2 linked regions of the Lytechinus pictus genome follow. The protein of the gene in region 2 interacts with the protein of the main gene of each other region in a pairwise test. Links are inferred from orthologs where the notes say so. Each region holds a gene or a part of one and is shown on either strand. Other genes may lie near its edges.

What was found.
Region 1: the proteins of calcium-activated potassium channel subunit alpha-1-like (region 2) and cAMP-dependent protein kinase catalytic subunit 1-like interact in binary tests that used the Drosophila melanogaster proteins (3 or more experiments, as listed by UniProt). The link is inferred for Lytechinus pictus from reciprocal best matches to the Drosophila melanogaster genes slo and Pka-C1.

What each region holds. Positions count from the first base shown.
Region 1 is NC_087255.1:30,787,014-30,794,599, reverse strand, and holds the start of cAMP-dependent protein kinase catalytic subunit 1-like, read left to right. Parts: upstream 1-4,518; 5' UTR 4,519-4,537; intron 4,538-4,860; 5' UTR 4,861-4,896; coding exon 4,897-4,945; intron 4,946-7,586. UniProt on the Drosophila melanogaster protein: Serine/threonine-protein kinase involved in memory formation. Promotes long-term memory by phosphorylating meng and by regulating CrebB protein stability and activity.
Region 2 is NC_087262.1:7,055,475-7,063,314, reverse strand, and holds the start of calcium-activated potassium channel subunit alpha-1-like, read right to left. Parts: upstream 3,103-7,840; coding exon 3,080-3,102; intron 2,365-3,079; coding exon 2,254-2,364; intron 1-2,253. UniProt on the Drosophila melanogaster protein: Potassium channel activated by both membrane depolarization or increase in cytosolic Ca(2+) that mediates export of K(+). Its activation dampens the excitatory events that elevate the cytosolic Ca(2+) concentration and/or depolarize the cell membrane.

The DNA of each region.
Region 1 (7,586 bases), on a different chromosome or scaffold from region 2:
ATGGATGGATGGATGGGTGGGTGGATGGGTAGATAGAAAGAAAGATAGATAGATAGATATAGAGAGAGGGGGAGATAGATAGATAGATAGATATGGGTACATAGATAGATCAAACTACTTGAAAAAAATCTTCTTTAGGGCCTGTATGGAGGAAAATGAAATAAGTAAGGTGGTGACTTTCAGCTTTGACATTGTGGGGAATGGCGTCACCGAGAGCTGTCAATTCAATGTGCCATTGGCGTTACAGAACAGGTGTGTATGTCATTTGTCATTATCCGGCATGACAATAATCAACGGGTCGTGTGTTTAAGTATTCTACCATTACAAGGTGAAGTTAGCTAAACCTGCACTTTTACACGTATTTCTCAATAGATACAGATCTTGAATGAGATCGAACACTTGAATTAGGTCGAGCAACAACCCCCGCCAAACTTTTGTTTTTGAATGAATTTCATTGAGATTAATATACTTCATTAAGTTTTGTTGAGTACTTAAGATGGAAAATGTGTTAGATTTCGATGGTTTACCTTAGATCAATGTGATTAAAGGGACCCCTCCCCCCGGAAAGGGAAAAATTGAAAAGGAAATTCCCTAAAATCAAAGAAACAAATATTGACCCCACACACACACACACCCCCACACACGCATACACAAATAAAACGAATGAATAGAAAGGGAATAGTTTATAAACAACGGGTAGGCATATGGTAGGTAAAGTTGTAAAGTCATTGGTGGAATATATACCCCATGCACCCGACATCCAGCAACAATTATGTGCCCACTATATTCTAATAATTATCTAAAACACCACCCCTACCCCCCCCCCCTCTCAGCCGTAAGTCCCATCCACCATGTTCAGACTGGAAATATATTTTTCGTAACTATAAATTACTAATGTCGATAACTAGGCCTATAACTTTTACACTTACTTCTACCATGTCGACAACTCCTAACACTAAACCATTGGGGTTTTTTTCTACACGACTTACCTTCATCAGAAGTCTTTTAGCGTAGTATCATGCAACAATCATCCATTTTTATCATTAATTCACTGAAACAATATCCCATGAATCATCGTTGTGCTAGACTTTCTCTTCACTTTCTTCCTTTAGAGATAAGACTTCGGCTGATGTTTGACCCTTTTGTCAAATAGAACTGGGTGGTCTCTATATAAATCCTATCTCAAGACAGTTTTATCATTTTACATTCAGGGGCCGCGGAACGGTTTTCAAATTGGGGGGGGGGGCGGCTGACCATGCAAAAAATCACAATCATATGGTCATTTTTACGTTTTTGTACATGGTTTTGGAAAAAAGTGGGGGGCTGAAGCCCCCCCCCCCCCCCCCGCTTCCGCGGCCCCTGATATTGTAATTATTGCTTGAACTTTATCAATGGAATTTGAAATATAAAAAGAAATAAATTTCCCATAATCGTTCACATTATTTTTTTTTTAGTTCATAAGAATGAAATTCATTCTTTGATGATCATTTCAACGATATGTTACTTATTATTTTTGCATGTTTTTATTTTCCTTATTCTTTCACTATCTAATTCAACCAATATGAAACGAGTTTTTTCTACACACAGTCAATAACCTTCAAATAAATTAAATTATATATTCATGTATAATACAGTTTTGTTGTTCATATGCATGAATGCGTACAATTTTGCTTCGAACAATTTACAGTTTGGATATTCTTGGTTCAGAAAATGGTAGTAGGTTGTAGCATTAGACTAATTTCGACCATGCAGCAATTGCACAAAAATTCGGTTGTTGTTGTTTTTCAGGCCTAGTATATATGCTTTCTCTAATTTTTCAAGGAAACGATATTTGTAATACGTTCTTCAACGTTCTTTTTTTTAACACAGGAATGATCTCAGTATAGTCAAGGATGAATAAACAGCCTTCCATAAATAAATTCATATATTGCTATGGTAACTAGAAGTTTGTAAACAATTATTAATTGAACGTGAAAACATTGCCACCCTATAATGCTCCATTTTTTACTCCTTTTTTATGTCGCCTTGGAAACGTTTCGAAACCACACAAAGTTTGACAGTGTAAATTTAACCGATTTTGGAGAGTTAAAGTGACAAGGGGCTGACTAATAATCCACCACATCAGTGATTCCACTTCCCAGTTTAAGTCAATTTGTGTAATTTTGTCAACTTAGAATAGCTCATCATCAGATATTCACTATTCTATATATACCTTTTTGCATTCTCTTTTTCGTTTTCATTTCCTCTCTTCCCTTTTTTGCTTATTTCTTGTTCCTTCTTTTTTTCTCCATCGATCTTTTCCATTCTTCACCCTCATATTGTACTCGTTCTGATATTCATGTATTCTATCATGGACTTTCTTTCAAGTATTTGAATCTAAAATGTACTTCCATTTAACTATGTGAATAATCCATTTGTCATTGTTGCAATAAAGAACAAATAATTTGTCGTTAATAGTTCTTTAACATGGTCACTTGTCCAATCTATTTGTCAATTAACAATTCTAAAATTACCAAATAATCACGTAACGTCCTTGTATCGATTATTATGGAATCAATTCAATTCGGACTCAGAATTCATCACTTTGTGGTATTATCCTTTCTTTTTCATTCATGTAAATCCAGTCTTCCCATATCTTTTCAATTAAAAACCTAATTCATTTGCAGTGATAAAGTGACTGAGCTTTTCTTGATCAGGGGCGGTGCCACCTTCTATGGAAGGGATGGGGACATGGTCCAGGTTAATTTGCTTGCATTTTAATAATGATAATAAAAAGATCATTGTCAGTAGTAGTATAGCATTATCATGAAAACCTATAATCTATTTTCCTCCAGAATTCTTTTTTTTTCTTTCCAATAATAAAATTATCCTTTCCTTTTCTCTTCAATAAAAAAAACCAAAGGGTGGTCACCCCAATGCAAATGACAGACTTGATCACGTGACACTTGACACCGTCATACAGCCTTCTCACGTGAACTGATGACACGGGTTACACGTATATTTACCTTTGTTTATTTAACAATAAAACATCAGGTTCAGAGTCGAGCTATTTATATAGATTCAAGTCAAATAGATTTACTGGTCTTTCACGCCTATAAATGGCAAGTTAAGTTAAATTTTATTCCAGTTTGCTGTCGATAATTTATCCCCCCATATATCGTCTAAAGTTTTTTATTGGGAAAGGCGTGGAGCTGCAAGGTCTACGACAATTTTGCTCTACCAACTGAGTCATGATTAGAGCAGGGATTCGAACCCCGTAACTCTAATTTGCAGAAATTAAAAATAAATCCAGACGGACCGTAATAAGGGACCGATCGAATTCTGGATTTAGTTTGAATCCTACAGATTCATTTTTTAAATCTCAAAGTATTAGATATATCCCTCAAGTGTTTTTTAAGATTTAAACTAAATCCACAATTCGATTGATCCCTATAAATGCAGTCCATCTAGATTAATTTTAAATCCCTGCAATTTAGAGTGCGTATCATGGAACAATATTGAATGTTTCTTTCAAGCAGTGGAAGTATAATTTAATGTCTAGGCCTATATTGCGTTAATACTAAAGTTGTGTTAACTATTAACATGGACATGTCCCCACGCGCCCCCTTCCTCATCCTGGTTCCCCACCCGAATCTATAAACCCCACAAACAATACCCAATTTATACTAAAAATGACTATATTTGGAGAATAACAGATTGGTGGTATACCTCGTCATTGTCATTCTACTCAGAAATAAAAATCTTGTTGAATACAACTAAAGCAGTAAATAATACTTATTAACAAAATCATATCAAGCTCACGATTTCATCTAATCATGTTTACTAATTGTAGTTTGTTAAAGAGTGTTAATCCAATGAAAGTTATTATCCAGGATTTTGTTTTAGATGGGGGGCATTTTGTTCTCAAAATTTGATAAACAAAAATATATAAAGGGGAAAAGACACGAAAAGGAGAGTTTGCTTCGTGGCCGGTTCGTGGCAAACAGAAACCTTAACAAAAATATTGCTGACCTTTTTCAGTTGTTCGGCATCTTTGCATTCAACTGTGAGAAAATAAATCTAAAGAAGAAGAAAAAGCCTGCGATTTCAATTGTGTTTATACCCATTCGGATATACTTCTCTGGAACATTATTTTCTCTCCTTTTTCAGACCCGCGCGAATATTATACGTACCGAGTCTGTGAGCTGATCAATTTTTGTGAGAGACAAGCAGGTTCGCATCGTCTTGCGCTCATTCCGCGAAAGAAGTCCGTGAATGGAATTATTACCAGTAACACTGCATTCACATGCAGATACACAATGGTTCGTATAATTCTATTCTTTTACCTTTCCTTTCACTTTCTCCATGATACCGTCTGTGTTTAGTAAAGGAAAGACCCTTTGAGGTATTGTTGATATTATTTAAGTAAGGTTTGTACGAGTGTATTGCTTTTATTCGAGTTCTTTGGACCGTGCAACCGCGGAGAGGACAATAGAGCGAGCACACGAGAGTGCTCGGTTGGGGCGGCTCGGGCGAGGGAAGATTCGACGATCCGCAGGTTGCTTCGCAGCTACTTATATTCATTATTCTATATCTTTAAAAAGCATCTCTCAGCTGATAACCGCTTCTTGGTCCCAGTTTGATACCATCCTTAGGTATTCAAGCACCTCATCATCGGCCTCTAGGTTTTAATATCTGGATTATTACTCGTCTGACATCAACTAACCTTGGATTAATACGGAGACTATATCTGCAGACGATAACTCAAGTTTGGTCCCCTACTGGGCACCTAATCATTTTGGACGTGCTCTCTCTTCCCCATCTCCAATTAAGTGATACATAATTTGGATAGCTCAATTCTATTTGTCTTTATCTCTTCAGATTCGTCTTCGATTTAGCAGAGACCAGTCGGGCGACATGTCCAAGGGCAAGGGCTCGCCACACGTCGCCCAATGGGACAAGCAAAGTAAGTCGAAATCTACTTCCCCTTTAAACTCGACGTCCGTGCAAAGGTTTATTAATTCGATTAGTATATGTTTACGATTGTTTCTGGAAACAAAGTCCATGATGAATTTCAGAAGAGAGATAAACGTTGTTTGATGATCGAGTGTATAGCCTATTTATTAGATGCCTTGATAACAAACGCGGTGTGTTTGTGGGTGTGTGGTATTGGTCAGTATGTCCCGATTTAGAAATGATTTTAGCCATCACTATTTTTGTGTACCCATGAGTAATGATGTATATTGTGGGGAATTATTGTTCAACATTGTGGAGAACATCGATCATTGATCCATTTTCTATTCAGAATGACCCATCTATTCGTGTTTTAAACATAATGAACTAGATACGAAGTAATAGTTCAATGCACTTCGAGTTTGCATAATTTATTGGACACCAGATGGCAAACATTGCTATTTTTAAAAATGAAATAAAACTTGTTTTTATTTTGTTTTAAGTGTAAACTTGTACTAGTACGTTTAACGTATACTAGTATCACCACCTACAATATAAATATTTAACGTTATTCCATTCGGTACTCACAACGTTTTACTCACAATAAAACGCTTCTATCTCATCTTTTATAATTATTATTATGCCTTGATTATGGTTGGCAACACTTTCATGATTAAAAAAACGAATAGGGGTAATTCGTGACCATGATTATTATCTGCATTTAAATGGGTTTGTAACACAAAATGGTTATAAACGGATATCAAATATACATCGTAATAGTAAATATGTGACTTGATCTCACTTTCAATATATACGACATAATATTTATTGTTGACACCAATTACACCTCATGGTTTGTTTTCGGCCTATTCAACTTGGAAACCACGTTCTGAACAAAATTTTATCAAATATTAGTACATTCGTCGAACTGAAACGCTCTCTTTTTGTTCTGTACATAATATAAAAAGGTTAGTATTTCTTGTTTATTCCGAAGCTCACTGACTTGTAGCTTTACATGATTTTAATAATAATAATAATAATATCCAATTTTTAGAAAGCGCTTTTCCCAGAATGGCTCAAAGTGCGTTACAGCATATTATTACCCCGGTCATTGGATTCATTTCAATTCCGCACGAAAAGTGCACAATTTCCACTCCCTGGGGAGCATTCCTTGCATTCATCGCAGCCTCCTAAGTACACAATTCACCTTTAAAATGTATTTGGAGTTAGAAGCCCCCTTTTTTTATTTTACCTCCCGCATGTAAACGCACTCTGACTTCCGAAGCAATATGTTGTGTACCTTTAATTGGTTCATATCGTAGCACACCCAGCAAAATGTGCTGGTCATGCTGGTGGGTTTCGAGGAACTATATCGAAGGACACCGACTTGTCCCTTTAAATATACTTTTTAATCCCGGATTCTTTAAACCGCGGTAAATCCTGCATGCCATGGTAACGAGTAATCTTGTTTAACCTCCCGATAACTAAATAGTGAAGCCAGAGAAAGTTATATTGTCTTTACTTGTTTTTGCTATTTTTGTCATCCGGTGTTCGGGTTTCCAAACGGTGCCTGCTTTCCGGTTGAAATAGGAATAATGTATAAGAGCTTGTATAACTCCGGACACACACAATACAAGTGAATGGAAATGATATCGAAATGAGTTGTATATTTTTTCAGTTATTGGTTGATTTGGAATACGTTTCGCAGTGTGACAGAATATAGATTCCCTTTACATTTAGATCAACCGAATCAATGGTATTATGCATACATGCTTCAATTTTGCTTGCATGGGATTCATCGAATCATTGTTTAACTTTCCAAGCAAAATATGTCCCATTTTGACGTGCAACTGAGGTGTCAAGAACAATAATAAGGGGTGTTCAAGGATGACCACACCTTCGGGCGTTAAAATACACCATGGGATTTTAATATAACACCAACAAATCAAAATAACATACACAGTGTGGTATATGTGGAGGAGCCGTGGTGTAGTGGTTCTGACTCTCGCCTTGTAAACAGATGGTCGTGTGTTCGAATCCCACCGCGGTCTGGCGTTCTTTGGCAAGGCGTTAATCCACACTTTGCCACTCTCGACCCAGGTGCTAAATGGGTACCCGGTAGGATGTGAAAGTCATTGTAGCTTGTCCAGTACTGTGTGCGCCTCACCGGCGACTGACTGGAATACTACCCAGGGAGTGGAGGATGTGCACACATTGTGTGCGGGAATGACTGATTGAATCCGATGACCGGGGTAATAATAATTTTCTGTAAAGCGCTTAGACACGTTGTTCCGATGTATTAAGCGCTATATTAAAAAACGGATTATTATTATTATTGAGTGTTGAACGAACACCGTGAATTTAACGCTGGTGTTAATGTTTGATGTGGTGGTCTGAAAACACTGGTGGTGTATAGTTGTAACACAATTATTATAGTGCAGTGTTCATTTACCATTCCCGCCATGATCATGATGAACAAAATGCAGAATAAATTTGTGAAAGTGTATTGATTGTTTCAATCAATGCACATGAGCATATTCGATACGCTATTAGCAGCGATCTGTTACTGTTCTAAATTACATACCCATTGTTTTTCTTTGGAGTGAATTCCCTCTTCCCCTAATCATATTTGGACTTACTTGGCATTCAGATGT
Region 2 (7,840 bases):
GCTATAAAGCTGAGTAGACTGCAAATGTCAAGGCATTTTGTTTCAAACTAAAATAACACAGATCCCTAACATGATTCATGTTCCAGAATACAAGCCCAAAACAGGGATTCAATGTTGCTGCTCTTTTCATATTGCTTAATCACTTTACGTTTATCTCTATTATATTAGAAGCTTCATCCTTATGATCATAAAGATTTTTAAATAAATTGATTGAATTCACTATATTAGGCCTATGCAATATATTCATCCATCTGATATTGATTCACTAATTGGAGTGAATAAAAGTTACTAGATCAAGAGTTTTTGAGTGAATTTCATCTTTTAACACTGTGGAATTTTTGGACGCTCCGTCTCGTGTTTATGTTAACTCTAAATTCATTCCAAATTTAGTGTTCCTTGATGTCACTACTAAGGGGTTGGAAAGGGAGTAAACATTGACTTTTTAAGAGAGAGAGAGAAAGCATTATCCCAAATCAGATTACAAAATAAATTTGAAATACGTAAGACAAGGAAAACCATGAAATACAACTAAAACCAACCAAATCTTCAATGCGGCTATTCCAAATTCGGAACTGACCTAGGATTAGGCTGAATAAAGTGTATATCTTCATCACTCCTCAGGCCTCGGTGTTCTAATGAAACACAGTATGAAAAATACCATTACGAGGTCATGTCCGTTAGCGAGAAACTCTATATACAATGCCACACTCCCTCTCTGTGTACTCAATCCCATGTTGAGGTGCGAATTGGCAATCCTCTGCGTTTATATGGGAGTACTGATTGGACTATGCTTAAAGGCTGCATTCAGTTGATAGCAGAGCTGCCAAGTTGTATTTTGCATTTTCAGTATTCTTATCCCCCAAAATCAGTATTTTGACCAAAAAAAATCAGTATTTTTACTGTGTGAGATATATATTTTGTATTTTTCCCCAAAACAGTGTATTTCATAATAAAATGCTTGGCGCACTCACCCATCACGGCGCTCAAGCTGCATGCAAGCTAAAATGCTCACTGCTCTTGCAGATGAAGAAAAAAAAAACATTGAAACTTGTGTATATCTCACCCTGGTTTTTACAAAATGATTGAAAAAAAAACAAGTTACCTGAAATTACATTGATCTTATAACCATATTTGTGTACGTTTTATGAAATAGAGACATATAGAGATGATTTTTCTCAATAAATTACGATTTTTGGTTGCAAAAACGTACTAAATACGGCTAAAACATACTGGTTGGCAGGTCTGTGATAGTATTTCATACCTGGGATGGATTTCAACAAATTTTTGTTCAAACATAGATGCATTCAAGCAGGTTCTTGTCAATAAACATCGTTTTAAAAAGGCAAACATGAAAGACTGAAAAACACTTTTTTGAAAGGTGCTTACAATGCAGACCTGCAAAACCAAAGTTGTTAATGAAACATCGCAGATTTTCATTCGACAGAATAAAAATATAAGAATGCGAAAGAGAAATGAGGCAAACAGGGCTTGAGATAAATAAGAATTTGGCGGGTATTAGACCAAGTGAAATTAATGTAGAACAAAAGTAATTTCCTTCGACAAGAAACTGATCCACAATGTGCTGCACTCAACCCAGGTGAGGTAAATGGGTACTGGTAGGAAGTAATTCCTTAAAAAGCTGTGTGCGCTATGAACGCCTAGCTTAGCCGGGTAATATAGGAGCGCCTTGAGCACCTAACAAGGTGGATATGTGCGCAATATAAATACCCTATATTATTATTATTAAAAGTCAATTACACCAAATTGATATTAGGAAATCAGACAAAACAGACATTAGACCAAATGGCCCGTATTCTGAAGTCGGGTTTAACTTAAACTCAGGTTTAAAGTTGTGGTTTAAGTATGGGAAGCCAAAAGTATCAAAATATTTATTAAGTTGTATGTTTCTTATGTTTACTGTGCTCTTTCCTGATTCATCGATGGTGAAGACAATCATCTATTTATACTTCCTAGACAATTATGAATGATTTAAAAGCCAAATGAGCTGAAGTATGATATCTCTACTGTTAGTGATTATGTAACAATTGGCTGTCCATACTTAAACCCCAACTTTGAACTGAGTTTAAGTTAAACCCGACTTCAGAATACGGGCCAGTGGGTTTTATAGCCCATGTGGTATAACACCATCTAAGATAGATAAAATGCTTTTAGACCAATTGAGTATGAACCATTATGACTTCTTGGTCCAAGGTAGCTTAATCACTTTTGAAAGAACGATGTCGGCTGACTTACGTGTCAAGGATGACGATCTCGACGTTGACATCGTCCCTGTCCTTGTGCAGAAAGTCTTTCAAGAAGTTGGAGACGCTGTCGTACGTGATGTGACCGCACACAACTATATGCCTGTGATGGGAGATATAAAAAAAGGGGAAGAATATGAAATGAGACGTGTAATGATCATAAACACAAGTTTCACAACAAAATCAGGGGGAAAATTACAAGAAGTCTCAAAGTGATTTCACCCTCGATATGTTCAAAAGAGCCCTGAAAAATAAAAATAACCCGAGAGAATCTGTGGTAATAATCTTCTATTAAAAAAAAAATCACAAATTTACAAAATAACAGGGAATCATAAAAAACATCAATATATCAAGATATAGGAAATGTACTGAAAAAGATGTTAGGGGATGGTTTATTTTATAGAAAATGAAGAAATAATGCAGGTTATAATATTTCAATATATTCTATTCGAATGTACTACAATTGTGTCTGTGGGATGCATTCAAATTTGTTATATAATGTATAAATGGGCATACATTATATGAAAATCGACATGGCAAAAAATTGTTGGGAGATAATCATGAGGGCCTGGGTGTTCACAAGATCCATACATCCATACACCCACGCACACATCCTCCCACACCCATATGATGTATGAATACAATGCACATTGCCTCATAAAGAATTCTATGTAAAAACACGCTACTACAGAGATACAAATCGATCATGAGATGGATGGGCATGAGGAGAAATGGAAGGATGCATTACAAAAATACCCACAAAGAAATTTGGTGCCGAGATGCATCTAGAGAATGAAAACATCCCCCCCACCCATTACCAGATGGTTTCCATGGCAACCATACTGATGACAGTTTTCTTGTTTATTACGGTAAGGGGGCAAAGGATAGTAACGGAGTCTCAAGCCAGAAGGCAGGGAGACACCATGCTAACTGTCCAGTGCAGGTGGGAATAAATTAGACACGACAAGAGCGATGGATTTTTCAGTTTCCTAAGTAACACGGGGCGGACCCCAAGTAGCCAAACAATAATGCAAAGAGTGTAGCACAACATTCTCAAATTACATTGACATCTTCATATGTATCAAGACGTGAATTGAAATATGCAGTTTTTCCAAGAAAGTGTAAATGACCAAACAGATAGGCCTACCCTTTGTAGCTTTGTTATAAAGTGCTATTCTGCAATCAGCCTCAGATATGAACGTATTATTTACTGATTCCAGTGACATTCTCTTTTTTTTCTAGGAGGAAAAATACTCTACATGGCTTGTGTGAAATAATTTTTTTTTCTTTCTTAGGTGTAAAAACTGTCACATGGTTAGGGTTAGTATGAGAAATGAATACCGACTTAGAAATGAATACTGACTTTTATTGTTTATTTGTTCACAGAGGTATCATGGCGACAGACATCAGTGACAGCTAGTGCCAAGGAGTTACTTGGATCTAAGAAGGAAGTCTGTTCCCAAAGACTACTCCTACAGGTTACATTTTTTTAAATCTGCCTCCTTGTTTATCATAGGGGGATAATCAAAGTTCCCACTGTTTATTTTATGTAGGACAGCCCAATGCTTTGCTCGTGAGGTAAACAATCATCTAATTAATCAATCGTCAAGAGGCACGTGTCTACGCAGAGAGCTGTATTGAGCACACATTATGTACAACCGACCCATGCCAAACCTTCTCTCTCTCTATTAAGGAGTATTCAATGTCTATAATATTTTTAATTTAAACAGCAGCATTAATCGTGATTGAAAACGCGATACAAACACAGAACACAAACGCAATCAGCATTCCACCATTCGTGGTCGAAAATATAAAGCTGATTATTCATCGACTGTCTTTCATTAAATTTCCCGCTCATAAGAGCAGCTTACTGCGCAGTTTGACCTATCACAAGGAAGGTCAATTGTGTTCAGTGTCCCATTTGCGATGCTGAAATTCGTAAAATCGGAGCTGATCGCATTTCCAAACATACATTTTTTGCGCATTCTTCCTCCGAATTGCGATCTGAAAGACGTTTACTTATTACGATCGGGAATGGGGGACATTGAACACACCCTTTGTTTCTCATTATATCCATGTTTTGTAATAGCATTTTCAATCATGATTCATGTTGCTGTTTAAATTTGAAAAACGATATTGAATACAATGTAATTCAGGCTCTGTTGTGGAAGGTAATATTCTATGATCAAAATGATTTTCACAATTATCTTTACCAATAAAATTTATTGGTTACACTCATATATCTCCTTGTTGACATTCTTCTTGTTAATAAATTTGAAAAAAAAAAGTAAATTATTATTATAACCATTATGACTCCAATAATAGTCTACTATTTTTGCCTCTCAAATCTATTCATTCAAACATTTATGACCCAATGAAAGATCCTTCTCAATACTACTTCTTTAAAGTAGAGTATGTGTAGACCTATGATAGAGACATGAACTGTAATACTTCTAGAAAGCTATTCCCAAAACTGTTACTTATGATCATTCATAACAAGCCAATCTCATTGAAATCAACCACAAATGGTATTCAACTTGTCTAAATTCATATTGGTAGTTGATGTTATTGATATTCATAGCCAAATAAAAATAATCATGAGAGCTGAATTGAATATAGAGCCAGAAATCATACACCCAATTAGCTTTAATTCAACCATGGTGTATATTATTCAATTACCTCTAACAGGGGTGATCACACTTCATTACTTATCATTATCAACAACCACACACCAAATTGAATTACGTACGCCAATTGATACTCCCCCATTAATTAAAACAACAAAAGCAATGCCATTTTTTCTGGGTCACTTATCAATGCGAATGAATGTCATGAATTTCATGAATAGCCAAACGACAAGATATCATCTTTTAAATGGTGGCAAGAACTGTATATGATTTGCGACAATGGTTTGATGTGGCATGGCAAGAGTTTATCCAAAGGAGGGAAAACTGCATAATTGGAGGGGAGGAGGTCTAAGGCACATTACTGAAAGTCAGGGCTGCATCTTTAACACGAGAATTCCACAGGCATCTAAAGGCCTGGTCCCACTCTCCGATGGACACAAAACGTACTCATAACGAATACAGCAGACAAATTTTGGGGTTGCTCCATCTGTTTTCATCCGCTCCAGACAATGGACAAAATGGGCGAACAATGAAATCACAGTGGACGGATGCTCGATGGATATAGAGCGTATAACACGTATGCAAAGAGTACACAACGAATACATAACGTTTTGGAACGGATGGCAAGATTCTTTTCCGTTTTACCATCCTCTCTGCATCCGTATTAAAGTGCAATGGGACCAAGCCTTTATCATCTGATCTTCTAATTTAAAACAAAGAAACCAACTGTGAAAGCAAAAAATCTGCTCTAAAAGACACATAGTTCACTGTAAAAACTGGTTCAGTGTTAAAACTGGATACCAGTTGGTGTCCTGAGAAGACCACACCCCAAGGTGTTTAAAGTACACCCTAGAGTTAGAACCATGACATCAAAGAATGTTAAGGTAATAACCAAAAGTGTTGTTAAGACACCCATGGGTGTTGAACAACAATGTACATTTAACACCAAAGTAATGCTGTCATCTATGTACACCGGTGTATATTGATTAACACCACAGTATTTGCTGTGTTCGTTCACAGCATGGTTCAAATTAATCAATGCACTGCAAAAAAAGGCAGTGTTAATTTAACACCAGCCTAGTATCTATATTGGTCCACACCAGAGAGGTGTTGATACAATACCAGTTTGGTGTTAGGCAAACACCAATTTGGCATTTAAGCAACACCAATTAGTGTTAAACCAATATCGGTGTGATTCTCAACTGGTGTTGTTTCAATGCTTCTCTGGTGTGGACCGATATAGATACCAGGCTGTTGTTAAATTAACACCGGTGTTTTTGCAGTGTGTACTTTATGGAAATACCCAAAACTAGTACAGCATGCATTCCATATGACAGCAGCGTAAAGTTTAATTTTGGAAAGTGAGTAGGCTACATGTTCATGAGAAAAAACTGTCATTAAAAGGTAGAAAAACATGACAAAAAACGGTAATCTATCAATTGGCCATATGGCAGTGTGCAAGAGGAGAACCCCTGTTGATATATCATCCGTTATATATGCTGAGATTTAAACTTATGACCCGCTTTATTATGAAAATACAACCATAGAAGGGGGATGTAATTCATCATGTCAAGTTATAACAGTTATAACATCATATTTTATTCAATGTGCAAGTGATATATTTTAGTTTTTATCCTTATTAATTTATCAATTTTGATGATTTGTTTGATTGTTTAAAGGCTCTATGACAGACCACCCTTTTTGTGGTTATAAGTCAATGTAAATGAATATAAACTGAGATAAATAAAAATAATTAATCAATTAGAAATAAAGGAAAAGGAGCGAGTTGTATTGAATATACTGCAGTACTCTTAAATGGTGTTAAACAATCGATCATAATCCTATTCGAAGGTTATTTTGAGGCAGTATACTGTTACAACGACCTTAGGATATGCACTTCTAACACTGTCTAAGAAAGAAGGAAAGAAAAAGATTTGAGCTATTTTTACCCTTATGGGCACGCACTTATCTACTTATGCGCATCCAAAATCCTTTCAAGGCGGTCAAATGATTGTACGCACACGTACTGGGTTACAAATTTGAAATGCATCTAGCCCTCATTCGTGGTCGGGCATCCCAAAATAGATTTCAATATGTGTGTCTGTGTTGACCAATCTTCCCATGACAGATACTTCTATAGCACCATCTTTGATGATTTGATTATCCTGTAAGAATTAATACTCAACCCCCCCCCCCCAAGAAAAAATAAATAAATAACAGTACAAATAAATTAAATACTCAATGTTCAAATATATATAAATAAACCAACAATCCTTGAAATGTGAAACAAAGGAAATATCTGGAAAGATACTCCAATTCATGTTTCTCACATCCCATGAAATATTTGTGTGATTTTGTTCTACAGAAGTGACAAGGAATGACCTGCAATGAATCAATGATTTCTGCTATCCATTCTAGATCAATGGACTAAGAACCGGGGAGAGAGCTTTCGCCTCCGAGAGGCCACGCTTAATTGAAGTTGACCCAAATATGCACGCTTGTCTTAACTCACACTTCACCAATCTAGTCCAATTTTAAACCTGTACTTGATGAAAAGAGGGCCACTATATGATATTCCCTGCAAGGTTATAGACATATGGAAGGTGCAGAGTTTCACGGTAGTTTATTTAAGATATCATTGTCGATTTCATACAAATTCTACTCTATTCATTGAAGAGTAGCACAGGGATATTCAAATGGGAAGTGGGGGGGGGCAAGAGGAAAGTATGAAAATATGAATATGAGTGTTTTACAGTTGTACAAGACTATACATGTACATGTAGTTCTTTCTCTTCAAAACTCTTTGATCGTGTCCTTATTCTTATCATTATCGTCCATGCCTATTCCCATTCTTCAATATATATAGTTTTTTTTTTATCCCTTTAAGGATGAAAGGGGCAATCTCCCCCCCCCCCCCGCCCCCTCCCCGCCTTCAAACTTTAACACTGCCCC